Drosophila melanogaster: one gene and its partners. The protein of the gene in region 1 interacts with the protein of each later gene in a pairwise test. Each region holds a gene or a part of one and is shown in the gene's direction. Other genes may lie near its edges. The genes, in order: CG13171, CG1344, CG31638 and CG13707.

Region 1 (3,624 bases):
GAGTAAGAATGCGAGGAAAGCAAAACGCCAACATGAGCAGCTCATAAAAACCCAAGAAGGCGAAATGTTTAGGTTTAAGTGGGCGTCCTCTTGGAGGAGATGGCGACGTGGATGGGTGGCTGGGTTCTAAGATGGCTGGGAGGGGGGTTCTGTTGTCCGGGTTGACTTACCGGAATGAAGCCGCCTGCATGCCGTGGCATGCCCGGCCTGCATTTAGCTAATCCACAAGTTTAGCACAACAAAGGCAAAAGCCATGGAAGGCACAACTCAAGGTCCTTGCGATGACGACGATGACTACGAGTGGAAATGGCCGAGGACGATGGTGAGAATGTGGACGAGGGACTGGTACTGGGACTGGCGTAAGTGGATGCGGGACGACGACTACTTGACAGTCTTGGCTCGGCTTTGTTTTTTTTTTTTTGGTGGAACGAAGGCACCACCCATTTTCTCGTCGCCCACCAAAACGCTGGCTGCATCTTAAATTGTGTTTCTTGAATTTTAGTATTTCCATTTCTTGCCGAGGGAGCGACGTCTGGGAGCTGAGAATTTGAGAATTTCCGAATTTTTAGCTCTGACCTGCTCGCATATGTAAATTGATGGCTTTGTTTGTCTTTCGGGCTCAGCTTGAAATTCGTAAATCCGTTGAAAATCCTTTTTAACTTTTAATGATGGGGCCGCTGTGGCAGAAAGTGGGCCAATGTTTTCCCATGGGATTTGCGTAAAGTATCTGCTAAAAGCTTTCCCCATTCCCTTTGCCAGTCCACGTTTTTTGGCCAAAAAGGCAGCTCCGACCGCATCGACGTAGACACCCCCTCTTTACCCCATCCACCATCCCCTTTCGCCCAGGAGTCAACATCAATTTCGTTTTCATCAATTTCGGTCGGAGGTCGGAAAATGGTGGAAATGGTCGTCTTCCAAAGCTGTCTATTCCAACAAGACCGAAAACAAGACGAAAAGCAACAGAAAGAGAGAGAGAGAGAGGGCGGTGAGGGAAAGAGAGCGAAAAAGTTGGGAAAAACTTGAGAATGTTCAACTTAGTTTTCATTAATTTGTTGTTCTAGTTGGACCACTTATAAAAAAGTTGGCTTAATCTTTTGGCTCTCGGGTGACTGCAAATTTAACCCAGTAGTTGAGATACAAAATTTCAGATCGGTATTTCACCAATTGAAATTCGCTCGAAAATAAAACCATTTAAGTCGATCAGATTTTCGGAAATTGCTTGCTTCTCCAGCCATAAAGTTTTGATTTAAAACATTACTTATTTTCTAGCTGTGTTAATTAAATGGGTTAGTTTAATATTAAATTAATTTAATAATTCCGACTGAAGATCAATTTGTATTATTGCTTTTGTATGTTATTGTATATTGTATACTCCATTAATTTGAACTGCTGTAATTAAAAGCATTCTAAAAGGAAACCCATCAAATCAAATGAAAGCAGCTGAAATTTATTGATTGAATTCGCATAACACATTTTGGCACTCAGGGAGCATACATTTTTAATTGGCCCCGTTGCTGTGGCTCCAGTTAGAAATGAGAATCCGTAATTTGCTTTTGGATACGGATTTGGCTGTACGCCCAAGACAAATGCTCGCAATTATCCGAGCATAAAGTAGGTGCGTGTGCCTTCTGTGCACCCACACCACCGCATTCCGGTTTCCGGCGAAACAAGGACACTCTCACACACACACACCTACCAAATCTGAAGCACGTGCGCAAATTATCTTCAAGGCGAGAGAGCCTGAATAAAATAACAGCTGCAAACAGACGCATAAACAAATGAAACGATGATGGCAACACTTCTCTCCGGGCACACAACCCCATCCCAGGACTCGGCCTAAACTCATTAATTATCTAGGAAGGGAAGGGGGGGGGGATGCAGGTTGCAGGACATGCTGCCGTGACCAGCCATGAATACACCACATTGTGTTTGTAATCAACTTTGCCGCCGAGCATCAAATATGCTTAATGCGCTCTTCGATTGTTCGTCCTTAATGATGGGTCGACTTGGCTCAAATAGTGGCCATCAATAGTTCAGTTTCAGCTTGTGAATTCATGTCGTTTTGGAAACTGTTTTCGCATACATACCCACAAGGTTCTTTCATTGCTAAGTGGTCAAATTTGGCTATATCATCTATAAAGTGGCTTAGATATAAAAGGAAATGTATGCTTTTCACATAAAGAACACCATAAATATAACATAATAGCTCCTTACTTTTTTAGTCTAGAATTTATGAAATTATTTAATGGAACAACTAATATATATCAGTAAGTCAGTTCACATTCTCTATCACCCAAGGAACCTAGTATGTGTACGTATTTCAAATGTCTGCCTTTAAAATTGCTTATGCCTGTCGTTATTGTGGCAATATCGTCAGCTACAAGTCAGCCAAAGTGAATGAGACGCCCTACGACTTGCTCCTGAGCCGTACCTTCAACCTAATCCAAGAGGACAGGATCAGGGAGACAAATGGGGAGCGATTCCAGAATCTGCACTGCTCCAAGTGCCGCATGGAACTGGGTCTGCTGTGCTTGCAGAGCGAAAGGAATGTCCAACTGAAGGGACTTTCGCTGTTGGAGAAGGTTCATCTGGTGGTGTACGACTCGTACGAGGTGCCATTCGAGATGGCCTCACTTCGTGACTGATGAAGCGTGTGGAAATAAAGTTTGAGGGAAAACAATTAACAATTTAAGGTGACACACGGTTGCTATGTCTGCACTTGACGCTTTGGTCCGTTGATGCGCACACTTATGTACATACATATGTATGTGTGCAATATATATACACTTGACTTTGCACGAGCTTGTCACTTTGGAATGTTTTGGCAAGCGTGAAAATGATTTGCTCGACTTGCGACTGCCGGAGCATTAATCAAAATCAATCCAAGGAATCGTGCCAGACGAGGACATGCGGCAGCCATCAGAGTTTCAAACAAAAGTCTGTGCCAGGCACGCTGGAAAAAAATCCAAAATAATTTGCACTCAACGCTGTGACAGTTGGAAAGGCACATCCTTTCCCTTTCGCCGGAAATTAGGTCGCTCCTCCCAGCTGTCTTCTAGGCATCCTCACACTCACACACACCACCTACACCTCTGAGTGGCTCAATGGCAAAAGGCAAAGGCATTTTAATGATTTTAATTAACTGCATGTTTGCCTGTAATTACAACGGCAACAATGCAATTACGCCGCATGTACAGCACTGGGTGGCCATAAACAACAAGGCTCCGGGTCAGAGGGCAAGGCCAGTTGGCCGCCTGTCTTTTGTCATCACTCCATACCTCCATCCATTCCTCCAGGCCAGTCCCCTTCAAAGTAACTCCTCGGGCTACTGCTCCTCGTGCTCCTCCTGTGCTCCATCCGGGTGACACACCTCGGATGACAGAATAATTACATGCAGAGCCACCAGGCCCCCTAGTTCATTTGCTTTTAGTGCCCCAGCTGGAAGCTATTCCTGGAGAGCGTCGACAGAGCAGTGCATCATACCGAGAGGGACATGGGTGCGTACCAGAGGGGTTCCTTGCCAGAAATATTGGGAAAGTTTTCACATATATTAGTTTGCTAAAATGTAAAAGGATTTAGGTGCCTATGAGTAGGCCAAGTTTATAGACGTCATAAAATGGTCCG
Region 2 (6,189 bases), 6.6 Mb from region 1:
GTAGAACTGGTTCAGAACAGCATGTCCGACAACCTATAAACACGGGGTACCACCGATAACACCCACTCAAGACTTTCAATCATGGTGTTTTCTGTCTCTCATATAAAAAATGTCCCTCAAATTAGAATTACAATAAATGAAATCACCAATAGGTTACTAGTGGAACATAATATCGAGAAAAGCTTTACTTCTTAAATTGTTGCATATAAATATTTATCTCTCTTGATAGTCGAGGAATCCACTATGGGTTCCCGTCTATTTTTTATTACTATACTGGTACTCGTTGAAAATTATGTATAAGGTTGAAAGAAGCGTTTTCGACCATATAAAGTATATATAAAGTATATATATTCTTGTTCAGGATCAATAGCCGAGTCGATCTGGCAATGTCCATCTGGACGTCTGTCTAATCCGTCTCGGGAACAGCTAGATGGATGAGATTAAGCATACAGATTCTAGAGACATATACGCAGGCCAAGGTTGTTAACCCATGTTTCCACGCCCACAAGCAGCACAAAACTGTCACGACCCCATTTTTGAATCATTTATTAATTTTTTTTTATTCTATTATTTCTACTAACATTCCAAAAAATATAGAAATTTCTCATTAAAACTTTGAGGTGAGTAACGGCTATCTTATAGTCTGGGAAGTCGAATATAACAATCTCTCTTGTTGCTTAAAAGAATTTAGAAATTCCCTGGCACTCTCACTAGCAAGAAACGAATATTCTACACTCCAGATACTTGACTATTGCGTTCCATCTTGTTGTGAAACTGGGGCAGCACGCGCTATTTAGCCGTTATCCGCTGATTTCATCAACGTACATGCGTACATATGTAAGTAAAAATGTCTCATTGATTGCGTTTTAAACATATAACTGAAATCAATATACCTTTTATAAGGGTATAAGATGGGCACTTCTGCCCGGAAAATGCATAGATTGGGTAACAGCTCCGATAGAATAAGAGATATGCACATGGCTAAAATGATCCCGTTAGTGATCTCGACAATTTTTCTACATGTTACATCAACAATATGTATGTTTCCAAAGACGGTAATTAATATAAAATTGTCAAAACTTCAATGAAAATTGATATGCAAGTCGATCTTTGTGTCAAATAGAACTTAGCTATTAATTTAAGAACGATTTTATTATTAATCAACCACACTGGAAAGATTACGATAGGACTCATTACGATTAGGCTTGGGCTATTGACATATGTAGTAACACGCTACTAATGGTGTACCGATTATAAAAGGCTATCTATGTCATGTTTGTTAACTAATTTAAAGCTGGCTTTCTATTATTAGAATTGAATTTGTTCAGTCTTTTCCTAGACATATATTTAATGTGTTGATTTGTTCATATTCAGCACCACATCAACTCAACAAGGACATGCTAACTCACCTTCGAACCTTGTATGTTGCTTTTATAAATTCGTCCTAGATAAGATCACACACCAATTTCTGCACAAAGGGGAGGCGTATTTTTTTACTTTTCGCTAATAATTTTGCATTACAACTGATGTAAAGTAATTTAAAACCGATCCATTTGATATATTGCGTGAATTTTTCGAGTGGCAAACAAGTTTTTAAAACATTTATATGTACACGACTTTATGTTACACTTATTAGTTTTATGTATTTTTTCAAAATATATACAAAAACAAAATGTGAAAAACAAAAGATTGTCACTTGTTTTCACGTACGTCCAGTGTGACCGAAACATGAGCAAACAAAAAGACAAAAATGAAAAAGTTTATAATGTGTTGAATAATGTGATGCAGTTTTCACATGCTAAGCATGTTTTTTCAATTACTGCCATTGTGGTTTAGGTCGTTGAATTATTTGGTAACCCTCGTGTACACTCATACTTAAAAACACATTCATTATACGATTACCATCCTATTTAAGTGAGTTTAACAATAATTTATCATCTTAGCGTGCTCTACAGCTACCTTCCATAGGTGAGTTTAGTCGGGAATCCATTCCACGATCGGTGACTGAAAGGGTACGAGCTCAACTGAAATTTGAACTTCTTGGCGGCATATATTTTGGGTGTTAAATGGGTCAACTAATTTGCGCTGCAATGTGTATGCTTAATCTAGCTTTATAGTTCCCGGGATCTCGACGTTTATACGGATGGACATACAGACGGGCATGCCCAGGTTCTTAAACAACACTTAAAAAAGATGTTTTGGGAGAAACAAAATTAGGGACTGAAAAGTGTGAAAATATGACCTATAATTAACCATTCGCTTTAATTTTAAAATCTCTTTGAATAACGAAACATGTTTTTTATGTTTTATATATATGAAGTTTATTTTAGCTATTTTCATTGCTAAACAGGTTCTTATACTCACTATGTGTATAAAGGCTATACAAATAATGATATTCAAATAGAATTCAATGTGTAAATGGGGTTTTTTGACCATACGAAGTTGATATAGATATATCTATGTATAAATGAATTCCTTGTTCCCTTTTTTCGAACATTGTTTTCAACTGTTAGTGTAGACGCAACCCTGTCTGAACATGCTATTATTGCAATAAATTATGTGCCCGAAATAAGAAATAAATTTAAGCGCTTCGTAGTAGATAACAGCATCTAGAGCTATGGGCAATGAAGGCAGCAAACTAAAAGGAATACTTGTTGAGGAAAATGCGGTGGAGACTAATCAATTTTGGACAGTTTATAACGCTAAGACGCCAGAGACAACCAACGATGAACGTTGCAGCCAGATGCTCTCCGTATTCGAAGGAAAAGTCTTTGTCAAGGCACATGTATGGTCAAATGGAGTGGGCCCGATTGAAAGAGCAATAAAAGTATACTTGTAGGGTTAAAGAAATCAACTGTTTACCAAATGTTTTCCCCTAGAACCTGATGGTCTACCGCCACCCGTACATCTTAAAATATATAGCTACCTGGGAGAAGTCGGGACGGAAGTATCTTGCTACAGAGAGAGTCAGACCTCTAGATGAGGTGCTGGCCCAGCAGACTGACATTGAAGTCTGCCTAGGGCTGCGAACCATTTTATGCGCTCTAATATTTTTGGTTGAGAAGGCCCTGGCTCGGCACTTAAATATTAACACGCAGTCTATTTACGTAACGGAGAGTGGAAGCTGGCGCCTCGCTGGCTTCGAGTACGTTTGGAGGGCCACGGATGTCAACAAACAACTGCTCGACTTGGCACATTCTTTTATAGACTTGACTATTCACGGAGAGAACTTCGAACAATTTTTCTTCTCCATTTTGTGCGAGAAAGTGCTAAGCAGGAAAGGAACTGATAGTTGTATTACTGATAGCACTCCACACGTTCATGAGTTCCGTGAGTATTGCAGCACACACCTAAAGCATCAAAATACAAAGCTAAGGCCAAGACTTTCTGCTATCTTGCTACATCCATACTTCAACCATGAATTCGTGCTTATACATTCCTTTCTCTTTGAGTTGCCACTGAAGTCAGTGCACGAGCGCCACAAATTCTTTAGAAGTTTGATTGATCGATTGCGATATTTCGACGAGGAAGTAGTGGCTTCGCAGCTGGCATGTGACTTACTCTCTAGAATGGTTCTGCTGGATCCTGCTGCACAAGAATTTGTGACTCCGCATATACTCCGTACAAAAGTTACTGATAAAGCACCGGCATCGCTATTTTCTCCGCAAATCTACGTACAATACTTAATGCCACACATACTCAAGATGTTCCGCTTGCGTGATGCACAGATTCGATTAATACTTCTTGACTATTTTATGGACTATGTTCGTCTCTTAAGCGATGAGCAACTAGAGAGCGAAATTCTTCCTCATTTACAGCTTGGTATGAACGATACTAACGACGTCTTGGTAGGCAAAACACTAAGGTGCATGGCTGATTTAGTTTCCATATTAGGAGCTAACAAAGTTTTGGGCGGTGATCGTGCACGATGTTTTTCTGATGGCCGTCCACACGCTGCTGTTTCCAGAGACAGCAACAATCCTTATCCCGAACCGCGGTCTATTAGTCCTTTAATGAATACTAGATCCTTCGACGTAGAAGACTTTATGGTTTCTGGGAGCCCATTGCCACAAGAAAGCAATGCCTCACCTTTATCTATTCGCCTTAGCCCGGACGGTGGGGAGGACGAGAAACTTCGGTTAAATTCAAATGAAAAATCCATAAGTATAAAACATAATATAGACCCCGAGAAGGACTCGTATATATCTGGCACAGAGCATGAAAGAGTGGCCAACATTGATGAGGAGGGGACTTGGCTTGATTGGGACAATACAGACCACCTTCAACAGGGCTACCAAGTGGATCACGCTGTAACCGACTCTGAAACAAACAGTAATTCATTTGCTAGAGAGATCCAAACTGGCAAATCTTTATCGCCCTCATATCGCACTGGAAAATGTAATTTATCAGTTGGAGTAAACGAGACAATATCCCAGACAGAACAGAAAGTTATCGATGATCTCAGTGAGCTGGACATAAAAGTGCAAACGGTGATTCAAAGGTCTGAGTTCAACGAATTTGATTTCTTCAAAGATATGGAACCGATCATCGAAATCCGGACTAGTACCTGTGAGACACCGGAGCAAATAAGCAGCCGTTTTGCTGCTGCTGCGTCAGCCGTGAACTGTAATGAGCTGTGTGCCGATCAGGGTTGGGGTCATGATGAACAGGATGATAAGGACGATATTGTCTGGGGCGTGACGAATGTATCAACGCTTTAATACAAAATCGAGGTATTTTTTACTGTTAGCTAAACAATAAAAGCCATAAATGTAATTAAATTGTATCAGGAAACTTTGGAGATGTTTTTAAAAATACCTAACATACTCTGTGTATATGCAAAAAAAAAAAAAAAAAAACTAATTGAATTTTTTCAACATTTTCTTTGTTTTTGTCGTACTTGCCGTAAATGTGACAAAAATAGCGCAGACCTACAACTGCCACGCCCACGTACGTTTCTCGTTCGCACTCCCACCAGCTGATTGTAATGGGTAGTCGGAGAACTAGACTGTAAAGTTTTCTCTTGTTTGTTCCTTTTTTTGTCCTAACAAATAAATGCTTGCTTACTTTTGTATTATAAAAAATCGACACCTCGGTATTTTTGTTTTTGATTAAGACTTAGTAATAGAATTGTAATCGTAATTTAAACTTGCGTAGAAACGGATGAAAATGAAATGGATAAATGTACTAGTAATTTAATTAGTGCTAATTTATAGGGTCCAATTTCTCTGCGTTGTTACTTTTGATTAAAATTAAAATGAACCCTCTGCAAGGATATATAGGAATATACCCACCAAATTAAAATAATATTAATTTCAACTATTCAATCGTCTTTATTCTGTGTTCATACATTTAAACAAGACTTGCCCTCCAAAAGCCTTGGAAATTTTACGTAACAAAATGGGACCAAAAATGATTAAATTTCAATTATAGTATGATCAGGTTATACCTATTTCCTTTGCTTCATGTTAATAGCTTTCTCATACAGCCTCGGGTATGAATATGACAAACAATCTGTTATTGCTGTGTTAATTTAATCGCATACAAATCAGGACCAATGTTTCTTTTAAATCTTTCAACTTTTTACCAAGGACCCATAGAATACAGGTTATATGAGATTGTTTTTGAAAGCCCTCTGTGATTTCTTACTCTTCGCAGACATGTTGCTGCTGATTTACGTACTCATCAAAGACGGTAGACGACTAATATATTTGTGACGTCAGTAAAAATCGCAGTGGCCCTTACAAAACACCTATATGTAATTTTAAAGGCCAAGATAATGAAAACTAATTTGTATTGCAATACTTGAATTAAAAAGCGTAGCGAAATGTGTATAAAAGTAAGCATCCTTATTAATTCTGCAAGAATGTAAAATTAACGAAAGGAGTAAAGCTAAAAAACATGCATTCCTAATAAATATACTTCATTTTACTTTTAACTTATGGTTACGGCTGTTTTGCTTTTTCTTTTAAATTTCCATTAGTTGATCTTTCTCGCGCTTTTCGATTTTGATTTGTGTTATGATTGTGTGATTTTTTATGAAAATTGGATTGATTTATTTTATTATTTTAATGGATTGGTTTTCTTTTAGACAGACGAAGCAACAAACATCGCAACATTTTCAATTCAGCTCCTTGTCCTCTAAGTACTTGTATTCAAAGGTGAATCCCTCCTTCTTTCGCTGACTCC
Region 3 (8,648 bases), on another chromosome or scaffold:
TTGTTGCAGGAGATGGTGTTTTGCAACACTAATCCCAGGGTCTAAATGATTAAGTGAACTTATTTTTAGAGATTTCAAATCAGTTATCAAGATTAAATCTTAAGAACAAAACCTTACATTTTTGCAATTTTACTACGTTTTTACTATATAAAAAGGGATGTAAAAAATTCTTGAGGCTAAAAAAGAGTTTAAAAATAAAAAAACTATTGAAAAACAACATTTTTAGCAAAAAAGAGCGTTGCCAGATGCAATATGTGAAATTATATGCAATGGTCACTCTGTGACAACTCGACGATAACAACGTATCTGGTATCGATGTACGATAGGCACCGATAAGTTTACACAAATAAGCCAACTCAGCCGAAAAGAATTCGGTTTTTCCATCTAATTCAATAATATTTACGAAAATGAGCCGACAGCAGAATGAGGAGGACACCAACTCGGTGCTATTCGATGCCCGCAACGAGTACTACATCGGTAACTTCATGGGCTCGATCAACTTCGTGCTGCCGGAGCAGGGTACCGCGGGTCCGGAGCTCCTGTCCTACATGTACCTATCTTACTTGGCCATCGATTCCGGGCGCATCGTGGCCTCGGACATCAAGGAGGGAAACTCCACGCCACTGCAGGCCTTGCGTCTGGTGCACGAAGCCTTTGAGCAGCCTTCGAGGACGGAGGAGCTGCTGGAGAAACTCACGGACAAGGTGGCCGGAGAGGAGGATGAGACCAACATCTGGCACCTTGCAACCGCCATCGTCTACTGCCACGACGGGCAGTTCGAGAACGCACTGAAGATCCTGCACGGCTCCACCAATCTGGAGTCGATGGCTCTGTCGGTCCAGTGCCTGCTGCGTCTGCAGCGCGTGGACCTGGCCAAGCAGCTGGTGGCCAAGATGCAGGAGATCAGCGACGATGCTACGCTGACTCAGCTCGCTCAGGCGTGGGTGGCCCTCGCCCAGGGAACGGAACAGATGCAGGACGCCTTTCACATCTACCAGGAGTTCTGTGAAAAGTTCAAGCCAACTCCGGCGCTGCTGAACGGCCAAGCGGTCGTTCATTTGGGTCTGGAGCGGTACGAGGAGGCAGATTCCGTTCTGCGTGAATCTCTGCTGAAGAAGCACAACGACTACGACACGCTGATCAATCTGATGGTTCATGCCCATCTTACGGGCAAGCCGACAGAGGCGATCACCCGGAATCTAGAACAGCTGAGGCAGTTCTATCCCAAGAGCGACTTTGTCACCGATCTAGACAAGAAGTCAGCGGAGTTCGACCGCCTGTGCCTGCAGTACGACGTCGAGGGCGGTGAAAAACTGCTCGCCGTCTAGATATAAGAAAAAATTCCAAATATCCAAATTAACAAAACCTTTTGTTCATGTATTAAACTACAATAAAAATTTATTAGAAATGTATTGAGGTAGCGGAGAGCAGATTAATAGCTGTAAAGATAATACAAAGTATTAGGGTGGATTTTTTATGTTTGACTGCTGTGCTGGGTACTCACTTCTGTTTGAAGCCATATTTCTTGCGTTCGTAGAACAGGTCAGTCTTGGAGCTGCCTAGATTTACAATCTTGGGGCATCCGTCGCGCTATAAGAACCAAAATGGACAATAATACCACAGAATGCACCAGAATGCATGACTTGCGAACTCACGTCCTTTTCCTGAATGGTGCAGGACTTGCAGTAGTAGGCATCCGACACTCCGGGTCCTCCACAGATGACGCACCTGCCCTGGTAGGATCCGTAGTTGCACTCGTCGCAGATCCGCACCAGTGTGCATGGCCGCACGTAGGAGTCGCAGATCACACACTTTCCATCGTCTTTTTCACACAGGCGTCCAATGGCTGCCGCATGAGATGGCGAGAGATTTCGAATTATTGGATTGTCTGGGATTTTCAACGGGTTTTTTTGAGAACTCACCCACGCCGGGCTGCTTGCGGCAGAAAATCAAATCCGGATGATGTTTGGCCATGATTTAATATTAGTTTTCAGTCAGCAAATATAAAAACAGTTGCTGAAAAAGCGGCGACTTCTTTATAGTGTGACCTTTACACACTCTCGCTTTCAGGGTTGCCAAGTGGTCAGCATTATCATGTAGGGCATTCATTAAACTCTATGATGGCTTGAATAAAGAAAAAATTAATTTTTTTTTAAAAATATTATTTACCACATTTGATAATACAATATAGATACAAATAATATTTTTTAACAATTAACTGAAATTAAATAACTTTCAAAAGCAACTGGCAGCCCTACACCATGCAGTTTGGCCATTCACAGCGACTAGTAAACAACAACAGCTGTTCGCATTCTCGAATTTTATTTTCTGTATTCGCATTAAGCTTTGGTCCAAAATATTGCAAAAACACTCCCACGATGCAACAGATCAGCTAGGTAGTTGTGTGGTACTTAGGGCAGCAAGCAGGACTTGAGAAAGGACACCAGCAAAATGTCGCAGACAGCATCCACAACGCAAAGTGTAACCGCTGCACCGGCGGGTGGCAGCAGACGCAATGAAGTGGGCGGCGTGGGCGTCATCGGGACCACCATGTCGGCTAGATATGGAGAAACAGAATGGGAGGCTCGGGAGGTGCGTATCGGAGTGTGATGCTTTATATCATTTCCCATAAACTCCCATTTTCTATTCAGTCCCAGCGGCAGAGGGAACTGCACGAAGCTCGAGCACGGGCGGCGCAGATGGAGAAAACCATGAAGTGGTGGTAAGTGGAGCAGCTCGTCGTGCTCAAAACTATCTGCTAATCCAAACATCAACCATTCCCAGGTCCGACTGCACTGCCAACTGGCGGGAGAAGTGGAGTAAGGTAATTTGGTTGCCATGGCTTTAAAGTTGGGTCAATATCGCCGGTATCCAATAACAAAACTTTTCACTTTTCGCAGGTCCGCAACGAGCGGAATAAGGCCAGAGAGGAGTCCAAGCAGCTGAGCCTCAAACTGGACGGCGTCATGAAGGAGGCCCACTCGCTGAAGCGGGAGAAGAACGATCTCGAGTTGCAGATCACGCAGCTAAAGAAGGAGATGGAGAAAGTGCACACGCTGATGATGAAGCACGCCGGTCAGTTCCATCGAGCCGACACCAGCGAGGATGCGGAGGCCAACGGACGGGATGCCAACTGCTCGCCGGATATCTCCTCGGATGGCTTAAAGAATATCAATAGCGAGGACGGCTTGGTTACCAAGCTGCCCAATGATGTCAAGGATCTAGACATTGAGGAGTTCGCTATGAAGGGGGCTATGCCCAAACATCTGACCGAGTTGGACGAAGCGGCGGCTGCCGAGGAGAAGCGCCTGATTCAGCAATTGTCAAAGGATGACTTTGACGAAGACTACTTGCTGCAAAAGATATCCATGCTGCAATTGCGCCTCGACGAGGCTCAGAAAACTCTTCAAGCGGAAAGGGAGTGAGTAATCTCTATTCCAATAATAATACTTTAATTATTTCTATTATTTTCGCAGCGAAAAGCTGGAGCTGCACAAGAGCATTGAGAAACTGACGCTGGAGATCCAGGACGTGCGCGGACGTCAAGAGGAGATGCGCTCGGCCAAGCAGGAGGCAGTGCGTGAACTATTAACTCTTCAAGAACAACATCGTGCTGAGATGCGTATCGTGAATAACTCGCTGCAGGAGGAGATTGCTGCCCGTGAGAATCTCGAGCGCCGGTAAGCAAATACGCATTCTGTACTTTGACAAGAGTGTAACTATCGATTCATTGCAGCCTCACGGAGCTTCGCACTGAACTGGAGCACCTTCAGGCGGAGAACGCCTCCGAATGGGGCAAGCGCGAGCGACTGGAGTCCGAGAAATTGGCCATGGAGCGTGACAACAAGAAACTGCGCGCAGAACTGCGAGATTATCAGGAACGTTCGGACCGTAAGTGCCGACCCATGCAAGCTAATGACGTGGAGCTGCGAGCATTGCAGCAGGAACTTTCGGAGCGCAACAAGGAGATCAGCGAGGTGAAGATGTCGCACGCCAAGCTAAAGAAGTTGCTGGCCGAAACAAACACAGAGCTGGGACACGCCGTGCGGCGAGCCGAGCAGTATGAGGCGGAGGTGAGTAAATCCACATCCAAAAATCTTATCAGATGATATATGGATCAGATTACGCGTATCAGCTTATCAGCCTAGGAAAACTTAAAGATGTAACAGCCTTCCTCGCCGAACCGAATTCGGTTTGATTAACATTTATTCACATTGACACTTCGACATAAAACAAATTGGTAAATGCAGTACTTTATGATTTTCGAAACAAGTACATTAGTTAGCAAATGCCGCCAGTCCGGTGATGGCTCGGCCCAGGATCAACGCGTGTATATCGTGCGTGCCCTCATAGGTGTTAACTGACTCCAGGTTGATTACATGGCGGATCACATGATATTCGTCGCTGATTCCGTTTGCACCCAGCATGTCCCTCATTTGGCGCGCTATATCAAGCGATTTGCCAGTATTGTTTCGCTTTAGAAGGGAAATCATGTCGGGCGTGTGCAGCTTCTGATCCTTGAGGCGACCCACATGCAGGCAAGCCTGCAGACCCAACGCAATCTCTGTGATGGCATCGGCCAGCTTCTTTTGGATCAACTGATTTGCAGCCAAAGGACGACCGAATTGTTTGCGATCCAGTGTATACTGGCGAGCAATCTCCACGCAGGTTTCAGCTGCTCCCAGGGCTCCCCACGCGATTCCATAGCGAGCGTTGTTCAGACAGCTGAAGGGTCCACTAAAGCCGGCCACATTGGGTAGCAACTGCTCCTCTGGCACACGGACCTCGTCCATCAGGATCATACCCGTGGGCGAAGCACGCAGAGAGAACTTGCCCTCGATCTTTGGCGTCTCCAAACCCTTGCCGGATATCTTGCGATCCACCAGGAAGCCGCGTACCTTGCCATCCTCGCATTTTGCCCATACGACTATGACGTCTGCGATGGGCGCACTAGTAATCCACGTCTTAGATCCGTTCAGGATGTATGTCTTGCTTTTGCTATCGTACTTGGCACGGGTCTCCATGCCAGCGGGGTCACTACCGTGGTTGGGTTCAGTTAGGCCAAAGGCACCTGAATAAATATGTAAAGAAATTGAGATTCGTTTAAAGAGAACACATATAAACTACGGGACTTTATATAATTCACTCAATATTTCATTAAAATATGATTTTATTCATTTGGCACTCACCAATCAGCTTGCCCTCCGCCATGCTGGGCAAATAGCGTTGCTTCTGCTCCTCGGATCCAAAGTCGTAGATGGCGCCCATGGCCAGCGAGCTCTGGACACTGACAGCAGACCGATAAGCGGAGTCCACGCGCTCCACCTCGCGGGTGAGCAAGCCGTAGGCAACGCTAGAGACTCCGGCGCAGCCGTATCCCTTAATGGTGCAGCCGAGGACACCCAGACTGCCGATCTCCTCCATAATTTTCTTGTCGAACGTCTCCAGGCGATTGGCCATCTTGACGCGCGGCTGCAGCTCGGCCTGACAGTATCCACGGAACGCATCCCGAATGGCCACCTCTTCCTCGGTCAATTGGCTCTCCAAATTCAGCGGATCCTGCCAGTTGAATTTGGGAGCTGCGGCTTTGGAGCTCGTGCTGGCCAAGCGGCGGGCACACGGTCGCAGTTTGCTGATTACACTTTGCGCAATCATAATTCCGATTCGGTTCTGTCTTTTCTGTTGGAAGTGATCAGCCGGTTCTCCACGGAACAGCTGCTCGATTCGACGTTCGGCGAGAGACTGAAGAAAGCTTAAATCTACAGCGAGAGCTTTTGGCTGCCCGCTCTTCGCGCGCTCTCTTCGCTCTTCTTCGCCAACTTTGTTTACCTCGCTTTAATATTGTTGTTATGCCCGATCTTAATCTGCGGGTTCTAAATTTTTCGCACTATCGCGCTTATATTTCACTTGACGATAGAAACCAAGAGTGAAGCGAGTGTGGAAGGAAATATTTTTCCATTTTAAGCGTTATCACCACTTGGCGGGGGTCGTCTGCTTATCAGTTGTGTTTGAAGACTGGAAGGCACGCCCCCTTGCTCTTTGTGCTTCGAGTTTTGGGTACAGATGCATCTTATGCGTTCAGAACAAATATGTAATATACCAATCTGAATCCACATATGTAGCTACATCACTACTTTTCTCTATTTTCCTGCAGGTGAAGCGTCTGCGTCAGCGTGTGGAGGAGCTGAAGCGGGAGTTAGCTGGTGCTGAGGACGAACTGGATTCGGCCGTTAACCAAGTGCGCCGCTTGCAGCGTTCCAACGATGAGCTGGTGGGTCAGACGGAAGGATTACAGGTGCAGATTCAGCACCTCCAGAATAGGTAAGATCAGTTCGAAAGAAACATTTAGATTTGCATACCGCTAAGTCTGTGGACTAACTCTAATAACCACTAACTTTTCAACTGGTGCTGGCTTGACTAATAACCTAACTCCTAACCCACGCTTAACCCAACGAAAAAGACGTGCTCCCAGTCCCCAGCTGCGGGGCATGGGCGGGGTGCAATTGAGGAATAAGATTGCCGTGGAGCTGCCCAACGACTGTCTGCCGAATATCAATGATCTTCGCCAGATCTTTGATGACTCGCAGGCAGGTTTGAGGAGCTCCCACAATGGCAGCGATGCCGCTATGCATCATGCTGCTTCCGTAAAGAGATCTAGTCACACGGAACGAACGCTCCTGCAGCAGCAGCAGAGTAGTGCTGCGGCATCTGCAGCGGCGGCGGCAGCGGCAGCAGCTGCTTTTTTTGATGCCAAGCCCACGCATCTGGAGGAGAATATATTTGAGTCGAAGTCACGGAATCTGGAGTTCGAGCGGGCCAAGCAGAAATTCGATAATCCTCACGGACAGCACCATCATCATCACCAGAGGCAGCGATCCGGAAACGGACGTTATGGCAGCGCAGGCAGCAGTGCCAGTCGAGCGAATCTAGCGCTGCCCCTGAAGGGAACCACAAATGGAGGCAGCAGCTCCGTTTCCAGTAAGGATGAGCTAAACCGACAGCTGTACGAGAAGGAGCAGTCTGCAGGCGCTGGATATGCGAGAAACAGCATTAATCTAGATGGTCTCAAGGTGTCCGACGATGAGGTGAGATTAGAGGAGCAGAAACGATTGTTATCACTTGAGTAAACTAATGCTTTGTTAGTTATTGTGTTCATCACATTATTGGTTTGATTTGTTTTAGCATCACTAATCCTTTTACTGCATGTATTGGTTTTACTAATCAATGTATAATTCTAGGTAAATATAATAACTATTTGTGATTTAAATTTCAGACTCCGTAGCTATGGTTCGACAAGCTTGCTGCTGGACGACGAGACGGAGGGTAACAGCGACTAGGATAACCAGACAAAAGACATTTGAGAGACATTAATGGTATTAACCTTAAGTATTAATTCGCAAGTACTTTAAAGTTGGTTGGACAACAGTCCCAAATATAATGCGCATTCCTAGTTTATATTTGGGCCTTTTACCAACCGGTGCCCCAGTTTTTTTTATAAGCATAACTATTGCAGAACGATTGTTCATGAACAAATACTTACTTATAAACTAAGATATTCTTAATTTCGCGACTAATTCCAATCATCAGATCACCAGTTAGCCACTTTCATAACTTCAATATTCCAAGTAATTTAAGGATAACGTTTGAAACTCATCTAGCTGGCCATATTCTTATGAGCTTAACCCGCAGCTAAGACGGTTGTTAGGAGGATTTCTCCTTCACATCCTTGCATCCTCATCGGAAACCCTTGCCTTTACTAAAAATGAACAGACTTAATAACAGATATACCGACATATATACGTATTGAAGCATAATACAGGTTCGATGTTTGCGGAATAGCATTTAGTGCCAGAAATCTAAAGAAATTGTATGAGATTTAGGAAAGCATTGATAGAAATGCTGCTATTTATTAATCGACATTATTGGAAATTATACAAGTAATTCTCACTACATATTTCGATATTTTTGCAGTTGCCTAGTCCGAAATTCTTTTAGTTTTTCAAAAGTCTATCGATATTCAGCGGCATAGTTGATCTTTTACAAAAAAATATATATACACATTAAACAAATCGGAACTCAAAATATTTACGTATTATAACATAGCAATATTAGTATTTTAGTTATTGATAAATAACAATTTATTAACTATTAAAATTATATATAAAATACAAATGATATGCCAATAAAGGTAGCATGTTACAAGATAAACCCTTCTTGCAAATCCTGTCCTGCTTTTTGATCGTCTTCGTGGAAGCACAGTACCTTCTGTCAGATCTTCAAACTTCAATCGTTCAGACATTATACAAAATTGGAAGAGTGGGAAAATTGGAATAAACTTAAAATTTCAGTCATGGTTTCACTTTCGCGTACTTCAAAATTAACCGTCGCTTGCGTGGGCGTCTATACGACCTACGTACTCTTCATATTCTTCCTTTTGCCCATGCTGATGCCGGATCCGGTGACACTGCAACGTTCACTGGTCTCCTACAGCACCAGCCACTTGGGCGACATCAGAAACCTCACTCTGGATGCCGGCGGCCAGCCAATCCGCTCAATGCTGGTCACATTCCGGGGATCGGGTGCCCTCACCCTGCTGGACAACCTGGCCCATCAGCCGGGCTGCTATCAGCACTACGCTCCACTGATCG
Region 4 (5,483 bases), on another chromosome or scaffold:
GTGCGGTTCAATCAGCTGCAATCTGCTTCGTCAGGATCAGCATCACCACTGGACCACATGCTGGTGACAAGGGCAGATCCACATCCAAGGTCTGGACGGAACACCTGTGTCGACTGGGAGCTGAATCCCTCACAGGTGTCCTGGCCAAAACACGCTCTGCCTGCTGATGGCTGATTCTGACAAGCTCAATTAGGGCGGGAGCACTCTAACCGGATTGAAATCCGGATTGCGATTGGGTGGCGGTAGTCCGAGAACACTGTTTTCGGATATAATGGGGCAAAAAAGAAACCGTTTAAATTAATTGCAGTTTTAAGCAGATTGAAAGTTGTTAAACAGCGAGCCAACGAGCTTACAGTCCGCAGTTGGCTTCGAAGTTTTCCCACCCGCTGCACGCACATTGCACCGCACGCACACACACTGCGCTTAAGATGATAATCATGTTTACGTGGCGTAAGTTAAATTGCTAACGTAATGGACTAACAGCAGGTGAGGACGACTCGAGGATAGAAGGATTCACGGAGCAGGATCTGGTTCTGGGAACTCGAAGTGCATTGCGAAAAATGTATCCTGAATTAGTTTAGTTCGAATTGAAAATATGATATGCTTCACTTAAACTGTTAGGTAACTAAATTTAAATCGCAATAAAATATTTTAGAAAAATTATTACTATTACTTATATTTTATCCGCATTTTCTTGCAGTGCTCGAGCTGTTCTGGAGCAGTTCAGGTAGCTCATGCGTGCGCCGCTGTCAGCGGCACATTTTGGGCTCTTTCAAGTGGCCAACAACCGGGATGGCCCAGAAAGAGACCATTTGCTTGGTCGTGCCACCGGTTGGGGCAGGGATTGAATTGGAAGCTGGAAGGACGACGGATCGCAACGCTTCTGTGTGGTGTGCGCTTCATTGGACAACTGAATATGCAAATTGAATTGAGCGTATTATCGACAAGAAGGAGGCGGAGGAGCGTCGGCGAGGAGGGCGTGGCCCTTGCAGGTGAGCAGCCTCGACTTGGCCATCAACATAATCGCTCAAGCCAAGGGCTTTGGACGGGATTGCTATGGCAATGGCGATGGCGATGGCTATGACGTTGCCGAGATGGAATCGGTGCCCAGTGGGCCAAGATGGTGGCAAATGGTGCACAAAATTAAAATTTTAATGGCTAACTGCTGATGCTTGTTTGGCTTTCAGCAGAATGGGTTGTGGAAGGGAACTTCGATAAGGATGGTGATGGGGATGAAGCTGGGCCAAAGAAAAGCACGATTAAAGCCAAGTCAACGAGCAGCTCTAAAATCATTGCGGCTTGCATATGAATACGGGAAATGCTGCATACTTCGTGGCTACATTGGGAACTCAAGTGTTGCATACTATTACGATGGAAAAAATAGGGGAAAGAATGGTTGCATAATAACATTGCCTGCTACTAGGATGGCTCATAAATCTTTAATGCCTGTCTCGCTCCGCTTTGGGATAAAACGCGAGATGATGGAACCTCTTAAAAAAGCCTGTGTTCCAAGGTTTTACCCCACTTCGTAGCGTTTTATATTTTATGTCTAGTCCAAACCAAAAATTTAAAATAAGTAATGCCAATGTCAAAGACAAAAATGAATGTTTGTGGCTTCAAAATATATGTTCCATCGAATAAATTGTACAGCTGATATTTCGTTTTTCTATTGGTACCCTTCACCACCAAACACCGGAGACACCTCACTGGCCAGACACCACGGACCCAACGGACACAACGCACAGCCGGAAGCCAAATCCCGGGCTCCGAACCCTGGTACGTGGTCCGTGGTGCGGGATCCGTGGTTGTGGCCGCCGATTTTGAGATGTTTTTGAGTGGCTATGAGAAGTGGAACTGCACCAATTGTTCCTGCACTGCGAGTGTGTGTATGGGTATTGGTTGAGTGTGTGCCCACACAGATATACTCACACACTCAAGTGCCCGGCTGATTGACGCACGTAAACAATTTACTCATTGAAAGAAGAGGCTTCAGTCAACGGCGAGCGCTGTTCGCGAGCGGAATTCCGCGGCAACATGTAGAGCAGCAACAAAGGCAGCGAACGAAAAACTACAGAAAATAAATAAAAGGAAAACAACAAACACGAATTAGTGCTATATGTAAAAGTCCAAAAAACCACCCGAAAATTGGACAAGTGTCGCCGGCGGTGGGCAATCAAAAAATAAAACATTCAGGGCATCACAGATGCCGCGATGACGGAGCCAATTAGTGCGGCGGTGCAGCGGCGGAGGCAACTGCTCCGCAGCGTGGAAAGTTTGCGCGGTCGTGTTCGTCAAGTGCTAAAATGTGTTATTAATCTGCATATTGAGTTTTTGGTAATTGATCGACGAACCTCTTCCCTTTCTTTCCCTGTCCAAATTGTTTTTACCACACAAGCGTAATCCACTTGGCCGCAGAGTTACACTTTTGTTGCTGGTTTAAAGTGTTGCAAACACATTGACAGATTCTATATCTGGTATATATGTACAACTGTGCCTCTGTCTGTATAATCTCCTTCTTATCTGGCCTTTGTGCCACTTCTGTTATCGCTCCATCACTTTCGAAATATTATCTGTGCTTTCACAAACAATTCTGTTCATTTCGGCTTTCATTCTAAAAATAGCTCTTTTATTTGGATACAAAAATTAAATTGTAATGCATTAAGTAAGCTAGTAGCAGTAAAATTATCTTACCATTTTTACTAAATGCCGTCTTCAACTAGTCGTATACGTAATCTTCATAAAAGTAACGTCACATTTTTGCATGCTTTTCTTAATGAAAGCTTGTCAACAAACTCTTAGCATTTAGCTTAACAATGGTCAACCGACTATATCTCTTAACCCCTTTTAGCCATTGTAATTTGTTATCGCTATTTCTGCTGCCATTTCACCTGCTATCACCTGTTGTTCAACAATGCGCGACCGGCAACTCTGTTAACAGCTGCAGCAGCGATTTGGAACATGTTAATGCAATTATAGCCAGTTATTGGGAACGAAATGTTAGAATGTTGGACGGGTCAGAGAGGGTTGGGGGTGCGACGTGGGGGTAGTTGGGGACTGCAGTGATTACTAGCACCGCTAATTAGACAATGTCGGTTCGGCCATAGGCAAACGAACGGTTTCGCAATGCATGGCACAGTCATGGCCAGATGAATAAGTATAAAGTTATTTCCGCACAGGATGATTACCCGGTATTAATTGTCTAACTAAATATACAATCCAACTTCCCTAACTATTGTATTTTAACTACAATACATGGATAAACTATTTTTACAGCTTCTTCGTTTGATTTTAACTTTTGATAACTACCTTTTTGGTGTAGAGTGTTTGGGGTAGGGTTTACTTTTCACCCCTTCGAAACATGCACCCAACATGAGCTTAGTTGGCCGTGTTCCTAGGCTTGGCTAATTTGGCACTAATAGAGACGCTAGTGACGAGGCCTTTGGAAAGATATTAGAGCTGAAATCCGAGCCAACATCGCCGAATGAATGGCGCGAATAAGGGGGTCCGGAATGGCGACCTGGATGGGTGGATAGCTCAGCCGGCGGGAAAGTAAGGCTATCACTGACCGTAACGCCGTCACTGTCATTGTGTCATTGGATACCGCAGTGCAAATCGAGCAAAATAAGCGATTTCCCGCTAATCCAATTTCCACCTCACCTCGCAGGTGCTCGAATCCGATGTGGCAGCTTTGCTGGATGAGGTGCGCGAATTCAACGACGACCACGAGGAGATGCAGCGCCTGGACAGGATGATCGAGGCTCTGCGGGACTATAGCGGACCCACGATATGCCACGAGTGGCCCTATCCCCTTATCTTCAAAGGCACAATCGACGAGGCACATGTCGCACAAATACTCAATGCCAGCGAACTGGATTTGGATACGAAGTTGGTCAAGGTGTCCGGCGGAAGGAACTGCATCCATGTGGAATCCGATGTGGTCACAGCTCAAAGGCGCTCCAGATTGCTGTGGTTCTCCAGAAGAAGCAGGGGGAAACGAGCTGAGCGCTTAAAGGAACCTAATCCTGTAGTTTGAGCTTAGCTCTGAGATTGAAACTAGTCCGAAATGCATATGAACAAAGTATTGTAGCCCAAGCTATAATCTGCCATTACAAAAGAGCCGAACATATTTGAGTATAGTATAATTAAGAAAGACTGCGCTGAGATGTCATTAACCTCCTTTAATTGCAAATTATAAATTGACATCCTTAAGCACATAATTTTTGAAGAAGCATGACATGTTAAAAAAAAATATTTGAAATATCATATTCCATCTAAGTTAAGAACCTTGTGTGATTAATAAAACGATTTCACTTGAAAGTATATTTTCATTAAGCCAATTATTTAATTATCCCAACCGTCTCTCTAACTAAATACATCAGGGTAGCCATTAAATGACATACTTGGTTGGTAAATTGTTCATTTCTGGTTGTTTCATTTACTGCGGTCGCCTGCGAAGACAAAATTTCGATATTAGTCCCCACCGCAAACATCTTGTATTCATGATATTTGCGGTGGGGATGTACATTGATTTTGACAGAAAGCACATCGGCACAGCGGCAAATATCTGAGGTGAATATGACATTCGGGGATTCCCCGCTCCCAAATTGTAGTTTCCGTTTTCCACTGGTCAGCCGCAACAAGTTACCGCACCTAATTAAAACGATTTCACACGCAGCTTCTTAAAGGCTCGAAAGCAAAAGTGCAAACAACAAGTGCTTTTATGCGATGTTTTTATATTATACGCTGGCGCAGCTATATTAATTATAAATAAAACCAAAAGAGACAGGTCCAGAAACAATAATAAAACGCGTTTCACTTCCCATCAGCGAATGTGTGTGCGTATGTGGGTAAATTATTCATAACGGTATTATCAGCTTTTCTGCGCTCTGCTGTCTGATTAAATTGCTCGACCATCGCCGGGAAAAGTCCAAGGATGCCCGGGATGCTGGGTGAGTGGATAAGGTTGCGGGTTGGGCGAAAGTGGTGGACAGTTGGCAAGCTTTTCATGGGCACACGGGATCTACAGTGGATGGTAAAGTCTGGAATAGAATTACAAATAATATAAATAATTACTTGTATATGATAAGTGCTTCTTTTTCTATAAAACAATATAACTTTTTTAAATCAATTTAATATGTACTAATATGATAAATATCATTGGCCTTAGTTAAACTTATTGTAATGACTCAGACTGTGCCTAATAAGCGAGGTGTCCGTTTCTGTGTGGGTGTCCGTAAGCTGGCGCATTCTTTGTCTCTGTGTTGTGCGCGCAATTTATCAACTCGACCGGCTATCTTTGTCGCCCGTGTGCTGTCCTTGTCTCTCCCATGTTCCATGTTCTCTGACCCACACCCTCCCCCACCACCCCTTCGTCTGACCCATTCGGCCTGTGGTCAGGGACAATTGCAGCAGAGCGCTGTAATTATTAAAAAGTAAATAACAACAGCCACCGCACAGCGACAGCAGCAACAATCGCGATAATG

Evidence for each region.
Region 2: the proteins of CG13171 (region 1) and CG1344 interact in a two-hybrid assay, tested with the Drosophila melanogaster proteins (one large-scale study listed by BioGRID).
Region 3: the proteins of CG13171 (region 1) and CG31638 interact in a two-hybrid assay, tested with the Drosophila melanogaster proteins (one large-scale study listed by BioGRID).
Region 4: the proteins of CG13171 (region 1) and CG13707 interact in a two-hybrid assay, tested with the Drosophila melanogaster proteins (one large-scale study listed by BioGRID).

The regions. Positions count from the first base shown.
Region 1 is NT_033778.4:12,211,706-12,215,329, forward strand, and holds CG13171 (uncharacterized protein), read left to right. Parts: upstream 1-2,304; 5' UTR 2,305-2,324; coding exon 2,325-2,645; 3' UTR 2,646-2,690; downstream 2,691-3,624.
Region 2 is NT_033778.4:5,651,090-5,657,278, forward strand, and holds CG1344 (uncharacterized protein), read left to right. Parts: upstream 1-2,586; 5' UTR 2,587-2,617; coding exon 2,618-2,827; intron 2,828-2,879; coding exon 2,880-4,721; 3' UTR 4,722-5,689; downstream 5,690-6,189. Other genes in the region: Not3 (CCR4-NOT transcription complex subunit 3), read right to left, coding at 6,122-6,189.
Region 3 is NT_033779.5:6,488,784-6,497,431, forward strand, and holds CG31638 (uncharacterized protein), read left to right. Parts: upstream 1-2,277; 5' UTR 2,278-2,451; coding exon 2,452-2,592; intron 2,593-2,651; coding exon 2,652-2,722; intron 2,723-2,784; coding exon 2,785-2,824; intron 2,825-2,900; coding exon 2,901-3,421; intron 3,422-3,476; coding exon 3,477-3,680; intron 3,681-3,736; coding exon 3,737-4,073; intron 4,074-4,190; exon of another isoform or gene 4,191-4,277; coding exon of another isoform or gene 4,278-5,071; intron 5,072-5,189; coding exon of another isoform or gene 5,190-5,655; exon of another isoform or gene 5,656-5,749; intron 5,750-6,154; coding exon 6,155-6,321; intron 6,322-6,460; coding exon 6,461-7,085; intron 7,086-7,273; coding exon 7,274-7,282; coding exon of another isoform or gene 7,283-7,337; 3' UTR 7,338-8,205; downstream 8,206-8,648. Other genes in the region: epsilonCOP (coat protein (coatomer) epsilon), read left to right, coding at 408-1,328; Phf5a (PHD finger protein 5a), read right to left, coding at 1,433-1,439, 1,505-1,590, 1,656-1,846, 1,923-1,974; CG9547 (uncharacterized protein), read right to left, coding at 4,278-5,071, 5,190-5,655; CG9550 (uncharacterized protein), read left to right, coding at 8,351-8,648.
Region 4 is NT_037436.4:4,836,629-4,842,111, reverse strand, and holds CG13707 (uncharacterized protein), read left to right. Parts: upstream 1-2,003; 5' UTR 2,004-2,211; coding exon 2,212-2,334; exon of another isoform or gene 2,335-3,188; intron 3,189-3,273; exon of another isoform or gene 3,274-3,549; intron 3,550-3,664; coding exon 3,665-4,033; 3' UTR 4,034-4,321; downstream 4,322-5,483.